Linked DNA regions of Macaca mulatta. The protein of the gene in region 1 interacts with the protein of each later gene in a pairwise test. Links are inferred from orthologs where the notes say so. Each region holds a gene or a part of one and is shown in the gene's direction. Other genes may lie near its edges. The genes, in order: SREK1IP1, SDCBP, PRR13, STAC3 and SDCBP2.

Evidence for each region.
Region 2: the proteins of SREK1IP1 (region 1) and SDCBP interact in binary tests that used the Homo sapiens proteins (3 or more experiments, as listed by UniProt). The two-hybrid records come from large-scale screens. The link is inferred for Macaca mulatta from reciprocal best matches to the Homo sapiens genes SREK1IP1 and SDCBP.
Region 3: the proteins of SREK1IP1 (region 1) and PRR13 interact in binary tests that used the Homo sapiens proteins (3 or more experiments, as listed by UniProt). The link is inferred for Macaca mulatta from reciprocal best matches to the Homo sapiens genes SREK1IP1 and PRR13.
Region 4: the proteins of SREK1IP1 (region 1) and STAC3 interact in binary tests that used the Homo sapiens proteins (3 or more experiments, as listed by UniProt). The two-hybrid records come from large-scale screens. The link is inferred for Macaca mulatta from reciprocal best matches to the Homo sapiens genes SREK1IP1 and STAC3.
Region 5: the proteins of SREK1IP1 (region 1) and SDCBP2 interact in binary tests that used the Homo sapiens proteins (3 or more experiments, as listed by UniProt). The two-hybrid records come from large-scale screens. The link is inferred for Macaca mulatta from reciprocal best matches to the Homo sapiens genes SREK1IP1 and SDCBP2.

The regions. Positions count from the first base shown.
Region 1 is NC_133411.1:72,768,987-72,772,711, reverse strand, and holds part of SREK1IP1 (protein SREK1IP1), read left to right. Parts: intron 1-2,622; coding exon 2,623-2,809; 3' UTR 2,810-3,725. UniProt on the Homo sapiens protein: Possible splicing regulator involved in the control of cellular survival.
Region 2 is NC_133413.1:69,261,792-69,265,516, forward strand, and holds the end of SDCBP (syntenin-1), read left to right. Parts: intron 1-600; coding exon 601-692; intron 693-2,078; coding exon 2,079-2,133; 3' UTR 2,134-3,115; downstream 3,116-3,725. UniProt on the Homo sapiens protein: Multifunctional adapter protein involved in diverse array of functions including trafficking of transmembrane proteins, neuro and immunomodulation, exosome biogenesis, and tumorigenesis.
Region 3 is NC_133416.1:60,591,437-60,595,879, forward strand, and holds the start of PRR13 (proline-rich protein 13), read left to right. Parts: upstream 1-1,607; 5' UTR 1,608-1,702; exon of another isoform or gene 1,703-1,710; intron 1,711-1,812; exon of another isoform or gene 1,813-2,489; intron 2,490-2,597; 5' UTR 2,598-2,617; coding exon 2,618-2,636; intron 2,637-3,115; coding exon of another isoform or gene 3,116-3,179; intron 3,180-3,323; coding exon 3,324-3,697; intron 3,698-4,443. UniProt on the Homo sapiens protein: Negatively regulates TSP1 expression at the level of transcription. This down-regulation was shown to reduce taxane-induced apoptosis.
Region 4 is NC_133416.1:64,408,914-64,413,240, reverse strand, and holds the start of STAC3 (SH3 and cysteine-rich domain-containing protein 3), read left to right. Parts: upstream 1-1,452; 5' UTR 1,453-1,648; intron 1,649-2,993; exon of another isoform or gene 2,994-2,994; coding exon of another isoform or gene 2,995-3,060; intron 3,061-3,321; coding exon of another isoform or gene 3,322-3,372; coding exon 3,373-3,589; intron 3,590-3,825; coding exon 3,826-3,923; intron 3,924-4,327. UniProt on the Homo sapiens protein: Required for normal excitation-contraction coupling in skeletal muscle and for normal muscle contraction in response to membrane depolarization. Required for normal Ca(2+) release from the sarcplasmic reticulum, which ultimately leads to muscle contraction.
Region 5 is NC_133415.1:82,842,283-82,845,112, forward strand, and holds the end of SDCBP2 (syntenin-2), read left to right. Parts: coding exon 1-60; intron 61-138; coding exon 139-310; intron 311-1,359; coding exon 1,360-1,451; intron 1,452-1,750; coding exon 1,751-1,805; 3' UTR 1,806-2,282; downstream 2,283-2,830.

The DNA.
Region 1 (3,725 bases):
TAGTTTAGACCCAGTTCTCATACAGAATAGGTTCTAGAAACCAGGGGCTGCCACTTCGTAGTTTTTATAGAGCATTTAATACATGTATTTGAATATTTCAGGTGTCTTATAAATTGGAAAAGTAGCTCACTTTCAAGTGTTAGGAGTTAACTAATAATCTTTAATATAAAAACAAATAGGAATGTAGAGCTCAGAGTTTTCTGTTCATGTATTATTAACTCATGTGTTGCAGCACAGCAAGATGGATTGCTTATAGGAAATGAGATTATCTAATAGTCTTCCAAATTCTAATACAAATAGTTCCCAATTTTTGTGGTTCGATATGATCTTTCAACTTTATGATAGTGCAGTAGAAATGTACTTCAGGTACCCATAGAGCCATTCTATTTTTCACTTTCAGGACAGTATTCAATAAATTACATGAGATATTCAACGCTTTATTATAAAAATAGGCTTTGTGTTAGATGATTTTGCCCAACTAGAGGCTAATGTAAGTGTTCTGAGAATGTTTAAGGGCGGCCAGGTTAAGCTATGATGTTCAGTAGGGTAGGTGTATTTTGTGTATTTTCAGCTGCAGATAGATTTATCAGGGCGTAACCCCGTCGTAAGTTGAGGTACATCTGTATATTTCTTTTCTTTTTCTTTTTTTTTTTGAAACGGAGTCTTGCTCTGTCGCCCAGGCTGGAGTCCAGTGGTGCGATCTCAGCTCACTGCAAGCTCCGCCTCCCGGGTTCATGCCGTTCTTCTGCCTCAGCCTCCCAAATAGCTGGGACCACCGGCACCCGCCACCATGCTCGGCTAATTTTTTTGTATTTTTAGTAGAGACAAGGTTTCACCGTGTTAGCCAGGATGGTCTCAATCTCCTGACCTTGTGATCCACCTGCCTTGGCCTCCCAAATATTTCTTTTATAGTAACAGATTATTTATTTGGGCCTGTTTACCTTGAGCATCACAAACCTGAAATTAAACTAACTTTTCTGTGCACATTTAGCAGAGATAGTGCCACCTGAACGTGTTGCTATGCCACAGCCTAAAATTTTATCTTAAAATTGAGACTTCAGGCTAGGCACGGTGGCTCACTCCTGTAATCCCAGCACTTTGGGAGGCCAAGGCGGGTCGATCACCTGAGGTCTGGAGTTTGAGACCAGCCTGGCCAACACAGTGAAACCCCATCTCTACTAAAAATACAAAAATAAAAAAAAATAGCTAGGCATGGTGGTGTTGGTGCCTGTAATCCCAGCTACTTGGGAGGCTGAGCCAGAAGGATAGCTTGAACTCGGGGGCGTGGAGGCTGCAGTGAGCTGAGATCACGCTATTACACTCCAGCCTGTGCAACAAGAGTGAAACTCTGTCTCAAAAAAAAAAAAAAAAAAAAAAAACTTTGGGACCAAAAAGCTAAAGAAAAAAGTGCAGGCAGGGAAGAAGCTTTAGTCAGAATCCAGAGGTCAAGTCAAGCAGGGTCTTTAAAACAGGAAAGTAGACAAGATTCGAGAATAACAGAACTGAAGAGGCAAGGGAGCAGGAGAATACGTGAGAAAATAAGCTTTAACAGATGGTCGGAAGTCTGAGTAAGCAGACAAACTAGGAGGAGAAAGGAACACAACATTACAAAAATAAGGGAAAACTCGGAGTCACTAAAGGAGGAAGGCAGTCAAGGAATTCACACACTATACAGACACAAGATAGCCTTGGACCCCTGTAGTCTCCTGAATTTACATTGGCACCTCCTTTATGTCCGTCTCAGGTTTTCTTAGTTTGAGTTTTAACTCCTAATATTTAGATCACTAAACTAACTCTTCAGGTACCTTTTTTTACATTTTAAATTCACTCAGTTTCTGTCTTGTCACTCATATTTTGAGTTTGAGTATAGGTAGAATGTTGCACATCTCTTTACGTAAGATCTTGAAAGACAGTGTTTTCTGTTCTTTTTCTTTTCCTTTTTTTTTAATATTAGAGGAAGGAATCCAACCAATTTTTCCAATTTAGTATTAAAGCAATATTTTTCAAACGCATAATGATAACCCATCCTTTTTCATTTATATCTAGCATAAAAGCATCCTTTGTAACTAATGAAAATTATTTTGTAATGCAAGTATTCATTACTCTCCATCTAGACGGACCCAGTACTTGAAAAATCAGCAGAATTTTATTTTGCTAACTTTCAGCTTTAATTCATTCCTATGAACGCAAAATTATAGCCCTTTAAAATAGAGAATTGCAACTTTTGAGGCAGTTTTAAGAAAATATGCTAAGTTATTATATACACAAGTGAATATAATAAGGCTTGGTGAATGCCCCTTTGTTTGCATTTTAGGATTTTGAATGGTATAACTGCATGAAAAACCAAAAGTCACAGAAAAATAATTTCATCCTTACTGAATTTAAAACTCATTACTAAAATTGAGTGGAATAGAGATACTAGTTTTGTTAATTTCTGTGACCAAGCAGCACAAATTCTAAATTCAGCGTTTTAAGGGAATGCAAATATATGAAGCACATTTTAAGTTTATGTTTATACTCACTACCTTACTTCAAGAAGAATTTAAGGCAGTTCAAATCCCGCTTAAATTTATCTATCAGTCATAAATGCAATTCTCAGTCAGTGTGTATTATTATCCATAGGTCTTACTCATCCAGTTCCACTGAAGAGGACACTTCAAAACAAAAGAAACAAAAATATCAGAAGAAAGAAAAGAAAAAAGAAAAAAAGAGCAAATCAAAAAAAGGGAAACATCACAAAAAGGAAAAAAAGAAGAGAAAAAAGGAAAAGCAGTCTTCTACACCTAATTCTGAATTCTCCAGAAAGTAACTGAGACTTTGGCTTAAGCCATTAAATTTAAAAATTTGTTTTTAAAAAGTGTTTGCCCTTCCTTGGAATTTGCTATATATTGTGCTTTGCAATAAATCACAGCCTTTTCCCCATAGACATTTTTCGTATGTGGGACCATTATCCCTCTGGCAATATATTTTTAATGTGCTATGACTGCAAAGTAATAAATCAGTCTTGTTACTTGATCACCATGCCCCAAGTATAGCTATTTGTGTATACTAAACACATCGTTTTTGGTATTTGTGTCTCTGTGTGTTTGGCTAGTGTTATTACTTCATTAGTTGATTGTAAAATGGCTTTACCGCAGTCAACACGGGTCATCTACGTAGCAGCTAATGAGTATTGCTGATTCAGGTGTCCACCTTCCAATCATGAAGCTAGGTAAGGGGTAATGTTTTGCTCTTGACACAGAAAAATTTAATAGCTTTATATACTAAAATAGAATATCTTTTAAAGATAGTGAAATTCTTCTTTTTTTTCTAAATCTCTAGGGATTTTTTTTCAATGTCATAGAAGGTGCAGCTGCTTAATGGTCTTGACTAGGACTTTTTAAATGAATGGTGTCTGCAGGAAGATGATCATGAAAATATCTCTAACGAAGTTTCACTGTTCTACGAAATGCAGAATTTCTAGTACCTGCCTCCTTTGTTTTTGTAATAATTGAAATATTTCTTTCTTATATAAAGAGATTAGTTCAGCCTGTTAGTAAGTCTGCAGAGATGATGCTGAGTTGGTCAGGATTTTTAGGATAGACTCCTGGGTTGTTTTACAAATGTGCCATGTTGGCATGTCTTACAGTGATACCTCAAACACAGAAATTTTTATTTGGGAAGATAGCTAAATCTTTATTAGAACTGATTTTTATTGTATTCAGTATGTAAATTTTGTGAAGCTT
Region 2 (3,725 bases), on another chromosome or scaffold:
GTATTGTATATGGGGAAAATTATTTAATATTCAGAAAGGAAAAGGGTTTTTTTTTTTTTGACTAAAATATTCAACTCAGTTTACTTAAGCAAACTGGTTACTAGCTGTAAAATAGTGTACAATTAAACTTGGTAAGAAATACTAGAAAAAAATGCCGGGCGCAGTGGCTCACGCCTGTAATCCCAGCACTTTGGGAGGCCGAGGCGGGCGGATCACAAGGTCAGGAGATCGAGACCACGGTGAAACCCCGTCTCTACTAAAAATACAAAAAATTAGCCGGGCGCGGTTGTGGGCGCCTGTAGTCCCAGCTACTCGGGAGGCTGAGGCAGGAGAATGGCGTGAATCCGGGAGGCGGAGCTTGCAGTGAGCCGAGATCGCGCCACTGCACTCCAGCCTGGGCGACAGAGCGAGACTCCGTCTCAAAAAAAAAAAAAAAAAAGAAATACTAGAAAAAAATTAGAAATACCAAGCAGGATTTTAGAGATCTTAACAAAACATAACAGGACATATATTTTGTATTTCTTTACCAAGACTGGCATAATTTTGTATTTATTAAATAAAGCCTCTGTGGAATTGATTTTTAATATGTGTTTTTATCAGGACTCTCAAATTGCAGACATACTATCAACATCTGGGACTGTAGTTACTATTACAATCATGCCTGCTTTTATCTTTGAACATATTATTAAGCGGTAAGTAAACAATTCCTCAACTTAATGCATATGGTCGTGTGACTTAATGTAAGCACTATAGTTTAATTCTCAGCCCTTTGGGTCTTTTACCTAAGGAATGAATACTGGTGTTTATCTAGAAATTTGAAGTAAGTTATTTAAGTCAGCGGGGTTGGTAAGGATGAGCTCTTACAACTTCCCAAGTATGGAATAAAATCCACATATACTTTCCTCAGTTTTGATATTGCCTAGTAGAAGAATGCAAGGAAAAGTGGGCATGCTTTTAGCTTTCAATTTGCAGTACAATTGACTGCAGTTGTACTGCCTGCCACTCCTCTGCTCAGTATAAATATAGTTGTAGTGGTTCGTAATGGAGAATTCTTGCTGGTGGAATGCTAGGAGTAAGTTTCCCTTCTCTCCAGAATCTCAGGAAGCAGATAGACATGTGTGGTGTGTTGGTGCTATCTGTGCTCAGGAACTGAGGATTAGAAAGCCAAGTGATCAGAAATGAAAAGAGGCAACAAGGTTACTTCTATACAGCTTTTCGTATCCTAGCATCTACCATAGCTGTTTTTGTCAAGCCAGCTTGGAATCCTTCTTTCAGAACCTCTATCATGCATGTGAAAATGAGATTTAAAAGATTCATAAACATAACCATTGTAATGAAATTTGTATGTTGGCTTCTGGATAGAATGCACCTCCCTACGCTTCGAGGGGGTAAAAAGGAGTTATTGTCATGACTAATTGTTCTAAGGTTCTCTTTTTTTAAATCACTGATGGATCCCTCTACCCCAACTCATCACAGCCGTGTCATTTTCTGTTTTTTAAAATTCACCAGGTTTGGCCGGGCGTGGTGGCTCAAGCCTGTAATCCCAGCACTTTGGGAGGCCGAGACGGGTGGATCACGAGGGTCAGGAGATCGAGACCATCATGGCTAACACAGTGAAACCCCGTCTCTACTAAAAAATACAAAAAACTAGCTGAGCGAGGTGGCGGGCGCCTGTAGTCCCAGCTACTCGGGAGGCTGAGGCAGGAGAATGGCGTGAACCCAGGAGGCGGAGCTTGCAGTGAGCTGAGATCCAGCCACTGCACTCCAGCCTGGGCAAGAGAGCCAGACTCCGCCTCAAAAAAAAAAAAAAAAAAAAATCACCAGGTTTAATGTACAAGAATTCATTTGTATCCTAACTTCTCTAGCCAAATACAGATAGCCTTTCCCACTGAGGGTCTGTCAACAACTAGATTACCAGAGATGCTTCTGGACTCATTTAAAAGATCTTTCCCTTCTCTCCATTCACATTTGATGCTAACAGGTGCTAAATTGGAATTGGGAATTTTCTTGGATTAACATAGCATTTTCGGGGGGGGGGGACAGAATCTCAGTATATAATAAAAGCACCTCTTTTGTAGGATGGCACCAAGCATCATGAAAAGCCTAATGGACCACACCATTCCTGAGGTTTAAAATTCACGGCACCATGGAAATGCAGCTGAACGTCTCCAGTTTCCTTCTTTGGCAACTTCTGTATTATGCACATGAAGCTTTCCCGGAGCCAGCAAGCATATGCTGCATGAGGACTTTTCTATCTTACATTATGGCTGGGAATCTTACTATTTTCATCTGATACCTTGTTCAGATTTCAAAATAGTTGTAGCCTTATCCTGGTTTTACAGATGTGAAACTTTCAAGAGATTTACTGACTTTCCTAGAACAGTTTCTCTACTGGAAACCTGATGCTTTTATAAGCCATTGTGATTAGGATGACTGATACAGGCTTAGCTTTGTGTGAAAACCAGTCACCTTTCTCCTAGGTAATGAGTAGTGCTGTTCATATTACTTTAGTTCTATAGCATATTTGCATTTTTAACATGCTACCATAGTACATTTAGAATGATTGCCTTTGATTTTTTAAAAAAATTCTGTGTGTGTATAAAATGCCAATTAAGAACACTGGTTTCATTCCATGTAAGCATTAAACAGTGTATGTAGGTTGCAAGAGATTGTGATGATTCTTAAATTTTAACTACCTTCATTTAATATGCTTAAACTGTCGCCTTAACTATGTTAAGCATCTAGACTAAAAGCCAAAATATAATTATTGCTGCCTTTCTAAAACCCAAAATGTAGATCTCTATTAACCTGAAATGTACACTAGCCCAGAACAGTTTAATGGTACTTACTGAGCTATAGCATAGCTGCTTAGTTGTTTTTGAGATTTTTTAGTCAATGCATAATGGAAACTTCTTTCTTCTAAAAGTTGCCAGCACCACTTTGTGAGAAGTGAATCACTATATATTTAATGTAAAAGTTATTACACTAAACAGGATAAACTTTTGACTCCTCTTTTGTTCATTTGTGGATTAAGTGGTATAATACTTAATTTTGGCATTTGACTCTTAAGATTATGTAACCTAGCTACTTTGGGATGGTCTTAGAATATTTTTCTGGTAACTTGTTCCATTTCCTGACTCCTTGCAAACAAAATGATAGTGACATTTTATCCTGAGTTTTTTCTTCTTTTTGGTTTATGGCTATTCTAATTAAATATGTATACATAAAGTTACATTTTAGTCTGTCTGTTACTGCATCATTTGCTTTCACCAAACTTATGCATGATCTAGAAGATAGGCAGGTGAAATTCACTTTCAGCTATGGGAGACATCATTTCCCAGAACAAGCTGACATTCAGGGGCCCTAAGAACAGCTCACAGTGCTGAGACTGAGTGTCAGGAAAATTGCTTCCAGCTGGGAACCCCAGATTACCAGGGCCAAGAGAGCTGGTTCACCCCTGCCATGCAGCAGGAACTCATTGAGGCTACTGACTGTCCCTAGCAATACCTGAGACCAGATAATACTTAATAACACTTGAAACTGACTTTGAAAATTCTATTAGTATGGTCTGACTCAAGTTTTTTCTCCTATATCATACTACTTGTAAGATACAACAGTGTTTTTAAAGAGTACAGAAACAATAAGTCGCACAATTAACCATGGTTCAGAGGTTGAATATAAAAATCTGCTACTGCTATACAGCTTGTTTGAAATTTAGAAGCGAA
Region 3 (4,443 bases), on another chromosome or scaffold:
CCTGGATGACAGTTAAACAATTTTTTTTTCTAAAAAAAAAATCTAGCTGTATGTTTGCTTATATTTTACATCGTGGTCAGGGAATATGTATTGAACAGTTCTTTCAAAATTGAATTGCATCAGTTGAGACATGCTTAACTTAGAATGTGACCAATTTTTATAAATGCTCTAAGCATGCTTAAGGAGAATTAGCAGTCATTAAGTTTTGAGAGCATGGTTCAATGCATGTTCATCAGGTCAAGTTTGTTAATTGTATTGTGTGTGATTTTTTTGTTGTCGTTGTTTATTATTATTATTTTTGAGACGGAGTCTCACTCTATTACCCAGGTTGGAGTGCAGTGGCACGATTTCGGCTCACTGCAACCTCCGCCTCCCGGGTTCAGCGATTCTCCTGCCTCAGCCTCCCAAGTGGCTGGGATCACAGGCACATGTCACCACGCCCGGCTAATTTTTGTATTTTTAGTAGAAACGGGGTTTTACCATATTGGCCAGGCTGGTCTCGAACTCCTGACCTCGTGATCCGCCCGCCTCGGCTTCCCAAAGTGCTTGGATTACAGGCATGAGCCAATGTACCTGGCCACTTGTATTGTTTTCTTTAAAAAAAAAAAAAAAAAGTCTGGGCGCGGTGGCTCACGCCTGTAATCCCAGCACTTTGAGAGGCCGAGGCAGGCAGATCACGAAGTCAAGAGATGGAGACCATCCTGGCCAACATGGTGAAACCCCATCTCTACTAAGAAATACAAAAATTAGCCGCGCCTGTAGTCCCAGCTACTCGGGAGGCTGAGGCAGAAGAATCGCTTGAACGCGGGAAGCGGAGGTTGCAGTGAGCTGAGGTCGCACCACTGCACTCCAGCCTGGCAACAGAGCGAGACTCCGTCTCAAAAAAAAAAAAAAAAAAAAAAAAAAAAAAGAGGCCATTGTAGCAATTCAGGGGAGAAATGAATCCAGGCGAGAGATGATGGGAGGTTTAGACCAGGGAAGACGGAGAGAAGTGGAGAGATTCCAGATGTATTTGTGAGACAAAACTGGTAATTTGGGGTAAGGGAGGTGAAGGAGACAGAGGGATCACGGAAGACCTCCTTGGTTTCTGGTTTAGGCTTCTTGACAGATGGCGGAGCTATGCAATTGAGAGAGGGAATCCTGGGAGAGATTATGAAATCTCTGTATTTTCCGCAAGAATGTTTGTTTGCTTCCCTTGCGAGTGTAAGAGGGAGCCGAGAACATTGAGGCTTGGGGCTAGGACTCAGCAGCTCCTCTGCCCTTGCCGAGAACTCTGTCTATATCTGTATTACAACACTTACCATAGTGTATTCACTTTACAAGGTATTGCACCCAGTGAACCATGACTAGCAGAGAGCAAGGGCAGAGTTTCTTCTCGGTGTCTCTAGGACTTTGCCCAGCAGCTGGCCCCGCCCCCTCTAGCGCTCTCCGCCTAGCTCCGCCCCCAGGAGATTTCCGGCTTCTCAGTACTTGCCTAGTCGTAAAGGGCTCCGGTCTGCAGCTAGAGCAACCGTTTCCTCCTCAGTTGGACCAGAGTGATTGATTAGTTTGTTGTCCAATCATCAGCCGAGTGGCCACATAATTACCAATTAGGCAGTAGCAGAGGCGGGTACCGAAGCACGGGGTCTGGGTGACTAGGTGTGACTAGGAAGTAAGAGCCGAGACTGCGAAGAACGCATCAAGTCCAGGCGGCGGTGGAAAGGTGACGTGGTATCTGAATTCCATGGGTTTATTCCTTTTCCCATTGCTGGGTTAAGAGCCCCTTCGCAGCTTGGGGCTAGGATCTTCATTTGCCTTTTTTCTTTTTTGGAGGAATTGGGCTGTGTCCATTTATTTAAGTATTTGAGGTTCTTGAGCAACTTCCTTCTTCGCCTCCAGGCGTATCCTTTTCTTAGCCTGAGGTGAGGTCCTCCCCAGGGAGAAAGTTGTTTGAGATCCTTTCTTACTCTGTGGGTGGTTAAAGGCCTCCGGACTCAGTTCCAGGAAAGGGGGATGAATGATGGGGGTGCCGAGACTCGCGGGCTATGCCCTCTTGCGAAGAGTTAGACGCTTCAACCTAGGTGGAGGGGCCCTGGGAACTAGATTCCTGTGTTAGGAACCAAGTAGGTATTGAGGGCGAAGAAACAAGTGGAAAGAGACATTTCTTTCTTTTTTTTTTTTTCTTCGAGGCGGTGTCTCGCTCTGTTGCCCAGGCTAGAGTGCAGTGGCGCGATCTCAGCTCACTGTAACTTCCGCCTCCCAGGTTCAAGCGATTCTCCTGCCTCAGCCTCCCGAGTAACTGGGATTACAGGCGCCCGCCACCGCGCCCGGCTAATTTTTAGATTTTTAGTAGAGACGGGGTTTAACGATGTTGGCCAGGCTGGTGTCGAATTCCTGACCTCGTGATCCACCCGCCTTGGCCTCCCAAAGTGCTGGGATTACAAGCGTGAGCCACCGCGCCCAGCCAGAAAAGAGATGTGTCTTATGTGGAAGTCGTGGTAGTTCTCCAGGTGGGAGAGCCTACTGTGGGGTGGAAGACGTTAGGGCTGGGCTCCGGTGCTAAGTCCACTTCCTACCTCTAGACTGTCATCTTTTTTGCCTCATTTCTTTCTCCTCAGGCTGGAGGACACACCTAAACATGTGGAATCCCAATGCCGGTAGGTGTTTGGGGGTTCTGTACGACCCCTAACCCTTTTTCTGATGGACTCTGCGTAACAGGAAGTTTCTCTATCAGCTGCCCCATCCCCGACCCGCCACACCCGCAAAAGCAAAGTCCTTAGTCTACAGCTGACCAGTGCTTTTTTATTTTATTTTATTTATTTATTTTTTGAGACGGAGTCTCTGTCGCCCAGGCTGGAGTGCAGTGGCGCGATCTCGGCTCACTGCAACCTCCGCCTCCTGGGTTCAAGCGATTCTCCTGTTTCAGCCTCTGGAGTAGCTGAGATTACAGGCGTGCGCCATCACGCCCTACTACTTTTTGTATTTTTAGTAGAGACGGGGTTTCACCATGTTGGCCAGGCTGGTCTTGAACTCCTGGCCTCATGTGATCTGTCCACCTCGGCCTCCCAAACTGCTGGGATTACAGGCTTGAGCCACCACGCCCCACCGGCCTGACCAGTACTTTTGTCTTCCTCAGAGTTCACTGTCTCCCTCCTCTCTCCAGCCCTTACGGGGACATTCCCCTTTTATCCTCAACTCAGGTTTGTCTCCCCTACCTTCTATTCTCCTTTGTCACTTTTCCATTTCCCTTTAAGTATTGGGTGAGAAAGAATCTCTTTCTTTTTGTTGTTTGTTGTCGGAGACTCTGGGGAATACTAATGTTTATAATCTGCTTCTTCCCCCAGGGCAGCCAGGGCCAAATCCATATACCCCCAACATCGGGTGCCCTGGAGGTTCCAATCCTGCCCACCCACCACCTATTAACCCACTCTTTCCCTCAGGCCCCTGTCCTCCTCCCCCAGGAGCTCCCCAGGGCAATCCAGCTTTCCCCCCAGGTGGGCCCCCTCATCCTGTGCCACAGCCAGGGTATCCAGGATGCCAACCCTTGGGTCCCTACCCTCCTCCATACCCACCTCCTGCCCCTGGAATCCCTCCTGTGAATCCCTTGGCTCCTGGCATGGTCGGACCAGCAGTGATAGTGGACAAGAAGATGCAGAAGAAAATGAAGAAAGCTCATAAAAAGATGAACAAGCACCACAAGCACCACAAGCGTGGCAAGGTCAGTACCCTCTGGAGCCTGGCTAGGGAAGGGGTGCCCCCTCAGAGGGACTAGGTAGGCAGGGGTTGGGTGAGGGGGATTCACATTCTGTGGACGTGGGGGATGACGATTGTGTCACTCTGGTCGATGATTCTTCCTTTTTGTAAAAGATTGCTACTGGGAAGAATCTGATTATCTTGAAAAGAAACATCAGGCTTCTCCTATCTGGGGGGAGCTAGGGTGAGCCTTAAAATAGATTTTTAGAATCAAAAGCCAAATCTTTTCTGCCCTACTCTCTCCCAGAACTTTTGCTCCCCTCCCCGCAGGTGCATATTCTAGCAAGTTGGACCCCCTCACTGACATTATCAAAACATCAATTAAAGTCATTCCTTTGACAAAGCAAAGTCTTATAATAATTAACAGAATAATAATATGGCCCTAGTTCCTGGAGTTCTTTCTCTCTTTCAGTGTTCTTAGGGCCTTGTGTTAATTACATGGGCCCTTTGCCCTATCATCCAGCAGAAAAAGTGAGGACAAGAGCAGTCAGTGACTCAGCCTCTAACAGCCTAGGACTAAGGAGGTTTTATACTCAGCCCCAAGGCTGAGTATCTTTGTTTTAGAGGACTGTTAAAAATTAGTAAGGATCATGCCTGTAATCCCAGCACTTGGGAATTATTAGCTGGGTGTGGTGGCGCATGCCTGTAATCCCAGCTACTCAGGAGGCTGAGGCAGGCGAATTGCTTGAACCCGGGAGGCGGAGGTTGCAG
Region 4 (4,327 bases), on another chromosome or scaffold:
CTCAGCAGTCCCTGTCCTATGTGGCTGAAAAAAGGGGAAGAGCAGAAGTCATCTTGCCTGCAAGGTGCAGCTTTTCCTTTAGAGCATCTCAAAGCAAGCCCTGTTGTTCTGCAGTCTGTCAGAGCAGGGCCATTAAAGAACCTGCAGAGTCAGAACCATCCTGCACCACCTTTTCAAACTTCACCCTTAAATAGAAAAAAAAAAAAAAGTAGTGGGTGAGAATGACAAAGCATGTTGCCCTGGAAATCTCTTGGGTCCAAGTAGCTGTATCCCTAACCATGGTCCTACAGGAGCTTGCCTGACTCAGTCTCCAACACAGTCCTTTATTTCTTACAGATACAAGGAATAAAGCAGCACTGCATTGCCACCTCTAAATTGCTCTCCCCTGAGATGGGAGTATCTCCTCTTTCATCTATGTCACAGCCCAAAGAGTAGGAGAAGGGTAAACCCCTGTGAGATCAGAATGGCATCTGTCTCTTTGATCCATCAGTTACATACTGAGGCATCAAAGGTGGGAGATGGAATCAGGGAATCAAAAGGGTTTAGGAAGTGTGAGGTTGGCCATCCTACCTTTAAGAGTTTGCAGTTCTCATGAGGAAGGGGACATTACTTAGAAATTATTAAAAAGATTCCTTATGTGGCAGCTATATCCTTCTGTCTAGTGTTAACTGGCCCTTTTTAATAGCCCTGGTAATTCCATTCACCCTGAGGACAAAATTTTGCAAGAAGGAGGGTGGGGAGATGTCTCTGGGAGCTGATGGAGGGAATGAAGCAATACTACATATTCTTCACTTTCTTACAGGATAGCAAAGTACTTCTCCAACCACCCACAGATAAAAAGCAATCTAACCATGCACGGTGACCCACGCCTGTAATCCTAGCACTTTGGAAGGCCGAGGCAGGCAGATCACCTGAGGTCAGGGGTTTGAGACCAACCTGGCCAACATGGTGAAACCCCGTCTCTACTAAAAATACAAACATTACCTGGGCATGGTGGTGGGCGCCTGTAATCCCAGCTGCTTAGGAGGCTGAGGCAGGAGAATCGCTTGAACCTGGGAGGTTGCAGTGAGTCCGGATCACTTCATTGCACTCCAGCCTGGGTGACAAGAGCAAGACTCTGTCTCAAAAAAAAAAAAAAAAAAGAAAGCCATCTAGTATGGCTGATAGGAGAGCTCTATGCGTTCGAATTAGTCTTTTTTTTTTTTTTTTACCCTGTCTCAAAAAATAAATGAAAAATAAAAATAAACTCCCTTTAAATGTTATATGAGCATGAACAGAAACTGTCCCTTGCTGAATTTGGCCATTATTCACCTGTTCACCTTAGATGAAGAATCAAGGAACAGCAGCTCTGGAGGGATGGGAGGAGTTAGGGTCCAGCCCTGCCCCAGACCTCTCAGTGTCCAATTTCTCTGTGTCAGCTGTGTTTCTCAGCTGTTCACTTTCCTCCAGCCCTGTCATTTCAGCCCTGACACCAAGGCAGGAGGTTAGGAGGTCTACAAATAGCGACTGGGTAGCTGGTGTGAACACAGGGTACTGGGGGGGCTTAGCCCCCAAGGAAGAGGACCAGTTTTTCCCCAGCACCACCATCAAGGCCTCGGGGCTCCCAGCTCCCTCTACAGACTGTGGACTGATTTAGGGAATCCCAAACGTAAGTTACCTCTTCATCCTCTCGATTTCCACGACTGCTCACGCCAGCTGCCCTGATCTATAATCTATTCAGCTTCTTCATTTCTTTCCTTGTCTGTGAGTCGTTTGGGTTTTAGGAGTAAAATTATTATTCTACTCTAGGATGAGTTAGGATTGGAGGGGGGGTGGGGGTGGGGTAAAGGGAATGAAGTAGTAAGGGAAGGAAAGGCTCATATTACCCTGAAAACTTAAAATAGCTGAGCCCTGAGGCAGGCTGGGACAGAACTAGGCACAGGGCCCCCAGGGCTCAAGAAAGAAGTAGGGGAGGACAAATGTCTGCAGTCCATCCTTCCTTGTGCGCACACGAGGACACACATTAAACCTCTTGAAGAGAGGAGATCTGGGAAGGTATGCATCACATCTCTGTTGCCCACAGATTCCCAAGAGAAACAAAGTACCTATAGGAAAATAACATAAACCATGCAGCCTTGAACACTGTAAGGGCTGTAAACTATGGGGTCTCCCCTCAGGATGGAAGGATGAGTATCAGTTTGAGGAACTAATTGGGGAGCTCTTTAGTCTGTTGGGATTTATTTATTTATTTATTATTTTTTATTTTTTTTGAGATGGAGTCTTGCTCTGTCACCCAGGCTGGAGGGCAGTGGCACAATTCTGGCTCACTGCAACCTCCTGGGTTCAAGCGATTCTCCTTCCTTAGCTTCCTGAGTAGATGGAATTACTGGTGTCCACCATCACGCCCGGCTAATTTTTGTATATTTAGTAGAGATGGGGTTTCACCATGTTGGCCAGGCTAGTCTTGAACTCCTGATCTCTAGTGATCTGCCCGCCTCAGCCTCCCAAAGTGCTGGGATTACAGGCATGCACCACCGCGCCTGGTCATGTTGGGCTTTTTCCTAGACTTCCATGAAATCTGTTAATAAAACCTGCCAAATGATCTGTATTTGGCCCAGTGCAGTGGCTCACGCCTGGAATCTCAACACTTTGGGGGTTGAAACGGGAGGATTGCTTGAGCTAGTTCGGGTAAGCCTAGGCAACAAAGCAAGACCATGTCTCTACAAAAAATAAAAAGGTAGCCAGGTAGTGTGCACCTTGTGTTCCAGCTACTCAGGAAGCTGAGGTAGGGGGATTGCTTCAGGCTGGGAGGTCAAGGCTGCAGTGAGCCATGATCATGCCACTGCACTCCAACCTGGGTGACAGAGTGAAACCCCATCTCAACAACAACAAAATCTCTAATCACGTTTCTCCAAAAACCTTCCCTTTGAGTACCGCCCTACTGCAAGGGACAGAAATAAGGGGGAGAAGAGTGAAAGGGATTAGATTTCATAGTGGGGTCCAACCTCTTGCAGGATGACAGAAAAGGAGGTGCTGGAGTCCCCTAAGCCCTCTTTCCCAGCAGAGACTCGGCAAAGCGGGGTGAGTCTGGGCCTGTGACCACTGGGTGTGGGGGGCCAGGAAACCTTTACAGCTGAAGAAGAGTGCTTAAATTGATCTCATTTGTGTGTGACTCATGTTTTGCTGGCCAGCACCTGCAGTCCCCAATACCAATACCTGCCTAATCCTGGGGTACATTCCTTGCCCAAAACTAGAAAACTGTCTGTTTGCTCTAACACCCCCCTACTCTAGAGAGGGTGACAAGTCCTTTTAACGTTGGGTTTTCTTCACTCCCTCCCTCAGCTACAGCGGCTGAAGCAGTTACTCAGGAAGGGTTCTACAGGGACAAAGGAAATGGAACTTCCCCCAGAGCCCCAGGCCAATGGGGAGGCAGTGGGAGCTGGGGGTGGGCCCATCTACTACATTTATGAGGAAGAGGAAGAAGAAGAAGAGGAGGAGGAGGAGCCACTCCCAGAACCTCCTAAGCTGGTCAACGATAAGCCCCACAAATTCAAAGATCATTTCTTCAAGAAGCCAAAGTTCTGTGATGTCTGTGCCCGGATGATTGTTCGTGAGTCATAAAGGGGAGTGAAGAGAGTATGATGTTGAAGGCAGAGGTTGGGGAGAGGGCATACAAGAGGAGTATTTGTAGCAGATGGGCTGTGGCTAGAGTTGGTGTAAGGCAATGCTGTTAGAGATTGAGCAAGTAAGGTCCCAGACAGAAAAGGGAACCTAAGAGTAGCAGCAGTGGTACAAAGGGAAAGGGCAATCTGGAATCTTATCTGAATTTTCTCCCCCTCTCCCAAGTCAACAACAAGTTTGGGCTTCGCTGTAAGAACTGCAAAACCAACATCCATGAACACTGTCAGTCCTATGTGGAAATGCAGAGATGCTTCGGCAAGATCGTGAGTAGGCTCTGGGGAACAAGGTGTAGAAAAGAGGTGACATGGACGGGCACAGTGGCTCACACCTGTAATCCCAGCACTTTGGGAGGCCGAGGCAGGCGGATCACGAGGTCAGGAGATGGAGACCATCCTGGTTAACACAGTGAAACCCTGTCTCTACTAAAAAATACAAAAAATTAGCCGGACGTGGTGGCGGGCACCTGTAGTCCCAGCTACTCGGGAGGCTGAGGCAGGAGAATGGCGTGAACCCGGGAGGCGGAGCTTGCAGTGAGCTGAGATTGCACCACTGCACTCCAGCCTGGGTGACAGAGCGAAAAAAAAAGAAAGGAGGAGACATGTCACCAGCTACCCCTTGCTGGTCCCTCCTCCATCCCATTCATTTCTCTGCTTTTTCTTTCTCAGCC
Region 5 (2,830 bases), on another chromosome or scaffold:
AGCCAATCAGGTGGTGAAGAAGGCATCACCCGAGAAGATTGTCATGGTGGTTCGGGACAGGTGAGTAGCCAGGCCTGGGCAGCCTCTCCGTCTGACCCCGGCCATGTCCTCAGGTCAGCTCACTGTCTCTTCCGCCAGGCCGTTCCAGCGGACTGTCACCATGCACAAGGACAGCATGGGCCATGTCGGCTTCGTGATCAAGAAGGGGAAGATTGTCTCTCTGGTCAAAGGGAGTTCTGCGGCCCGCAACGGGCTCCTCACCAACCACTATGTGTGTGAGGTGGATGGGCAGAATGTCATCGGGCTGAAGGTAGGCCGGTGGTTGCACCGGGGAGGGACTGCTGGGTGGTGGGAGGGCTCAGGTCTATGGGCAGCTTGCTTACCCCACCTGAGCCTCAGCGTCCTCTTCCGAAGGTAAGATGGTGTTCATAGGGCTGGGTGCAGTGACTCACGTCTGTAATCCCGGTGCTTTGGGAGGCCAAAGCAGGAGGATCACTTAAGTCCAGGAGTTTGAGACCAGCCTAGGCAATGTGAAACCCTCTTTCCACAAAAAAGCTAAAAAATTAGCCAAGCGTGGTGGTGCACGCCTGTAGTCCCAGCTACTCAGGAGGCTGAGGTGGGAGGACTACTTGAGCCTGGGAGGTCAAGGCTGCAGTGAACTATGATCATGCCACTGCATTCCAGCCTGGGCAACAGAGACAGACCCTGTCTCCAAAAAAGAAAAAGACAGTGTACCTAGAGCTCTGAGCACAGTGCCAGGCACATAGTAGGTGCTTAATAAATAGTAGCTATTGCTGGCTGCACGGACACCTCCTTGCTCTATGGCACTTTTTTTTTGTATAGTGGATCATGTTCAGTAGTAGGAATGTTTTAGAAAATTGTTATTCAGAAATCCATAGGGTCATGAGACTCTTCAGAACCGAGTTTGTCCCAGCCAGCCACACTTCTTGAGATCATTTGTCTTTATTTCCACCTGTGGCCATTGCTAGTCCTGTCTAGCACATCTTCTCGCATTTATTTTGGAACAATCAAGAAAACATGTAACCAGATTACATACATGTGTAAAGTAAAGGTCAATAGGCTCTGAGTAAGGGCCAGAGGTTCTTCTATGGCCACAGTGTTAGTGTTTGTACCGCCTGGCACATGTGGGAGACCCATGTTCTCACTCAAGCAAGACCTTACCTGGGAGTCTGCTGGGACCCTCATCTGACAGGCTCGGGGTCTGAGGCAGCCCTGCCCTGCAGTCAGGCATCTGTGTGTCCTCTAGCAGTGGCCATGCTGACTCCTCCACAGAGGGGCCTGTAGAGTTGCCCCTGGTCCCCAATCCTTAGGGTGATCACTTACTTGCCTCCTCTCTAGGACAAAAAGATCATGGAGATTCTGGCCACAGCTGGGAACGTTGTCACCCTGACCATCATCCCCAGTGTGATCTACGAGCACATGGTCAAAAAGTAAGGCTGCACCCCTCCTCACCCCTCCTCTGCCATCCCGCTCACCTCCCTGCCTCCCGGGTGCACCTGGCTCAGCCACTCCACTTTCTCAGCACTGACACAGGGCACAGACCCCGCCAGCTGCATACTCCCTTCCCCTTCCCCTCCCTCCAAGGTAGCTTGTGGCTTCTGGTGATTCGAAAGTCTTAGAACTGGGAGTGAAGGCCCACATGGGATGCGCTGGCTCAGAAGGGGGTGGAGGTTGCTGGAGGGCGGAGAGAAGGAGCTGCCAACTTGGCCACCATTGTTGCTGTATCCAGGTTGTCTCCAGTCCTGCTCCACCACACCATGGACCACTCCATTCCAGATGCCTGAAGCCACTGGAGGGCAGGGCGGGCAGGGTGGGCCTCCCGCCCTCCTGCGGCAAAGGGCAACACCCTCGGATGATGGGTTGCAGCTGGCCTGCTGCTTAACGTGGGAGCTGCCGTGAGGGGGGCGTGTCCAGGAGGGTGACCATGGGATGGCGTGGGTACGTCGCTTATACACACAGGCCTCCTTGGAGTCTCAGACTCCAGGCTGGGCTGAGGCTCAGGCAGAGCCCACAGGCAGCCGATTCTCTTGTGCTGATTTAAATGCTGAACACGGAGGCAGGCCGTCTAAACACTTCTTAAAGTTGCAACTGGGCCCCTTTCAAGAAATTTTGCTCTACCAGGAAAACAGTTACACATTTGAGAGAACAGAGCTACATTCTTTGTGAGAGCTTTTTCCTTGCCTTGACTTGCTCTTTGTCACAGACAGCATAAGTTATCAGCCTTGACTATCTTTTGAATAAAGATTTGATTTTAAACAAAACCCGTCCGCAAAGGTAATTGATTCCCCCCAAAACTATTGAAAATAAAATAAAAAGATAATTGAAAATTCTGGAATCCTCGGTCCCCTGACGTGCCAGGGCTGGTTTTCTCTTAAACTGTGGCGAGACCAGGGCCTTTTCTCCGTGTGGTCTCTGAGAGCCATGATTTGGCTTTGCCTCTGTCACGTGCCGCCTGCCAGCCTGGTGCAGGGATGACTGGAACTGGGGACAGGATGGAACTGTGGGACGGGGTAGGACTGTGGGGCAGTGGGGCTGGCAGAGGGAGCACTGGCTTTGGGGCACCCCCCATGTGACCATGGCTGTTTCTGCTTCTGCAAAGTGGGCATGAGAAGCCACTTCAGGGGATGTTGGGGAGGGTGAAACGCGATGTGCTCGTGGTGCCCAGCAGGGTGTGCCATGTGGGGGCAGGGGGAGGTGGTTCCAGACCCTGAGCCTGACCCCAAGAGAGCAGTGGTGCCCCAGCCCCGCACAGCTCTCTGCTTCCCTGCATGTCGGAGGCGATCGCTGCTTGCCTGGCTTTTTCCTGTGC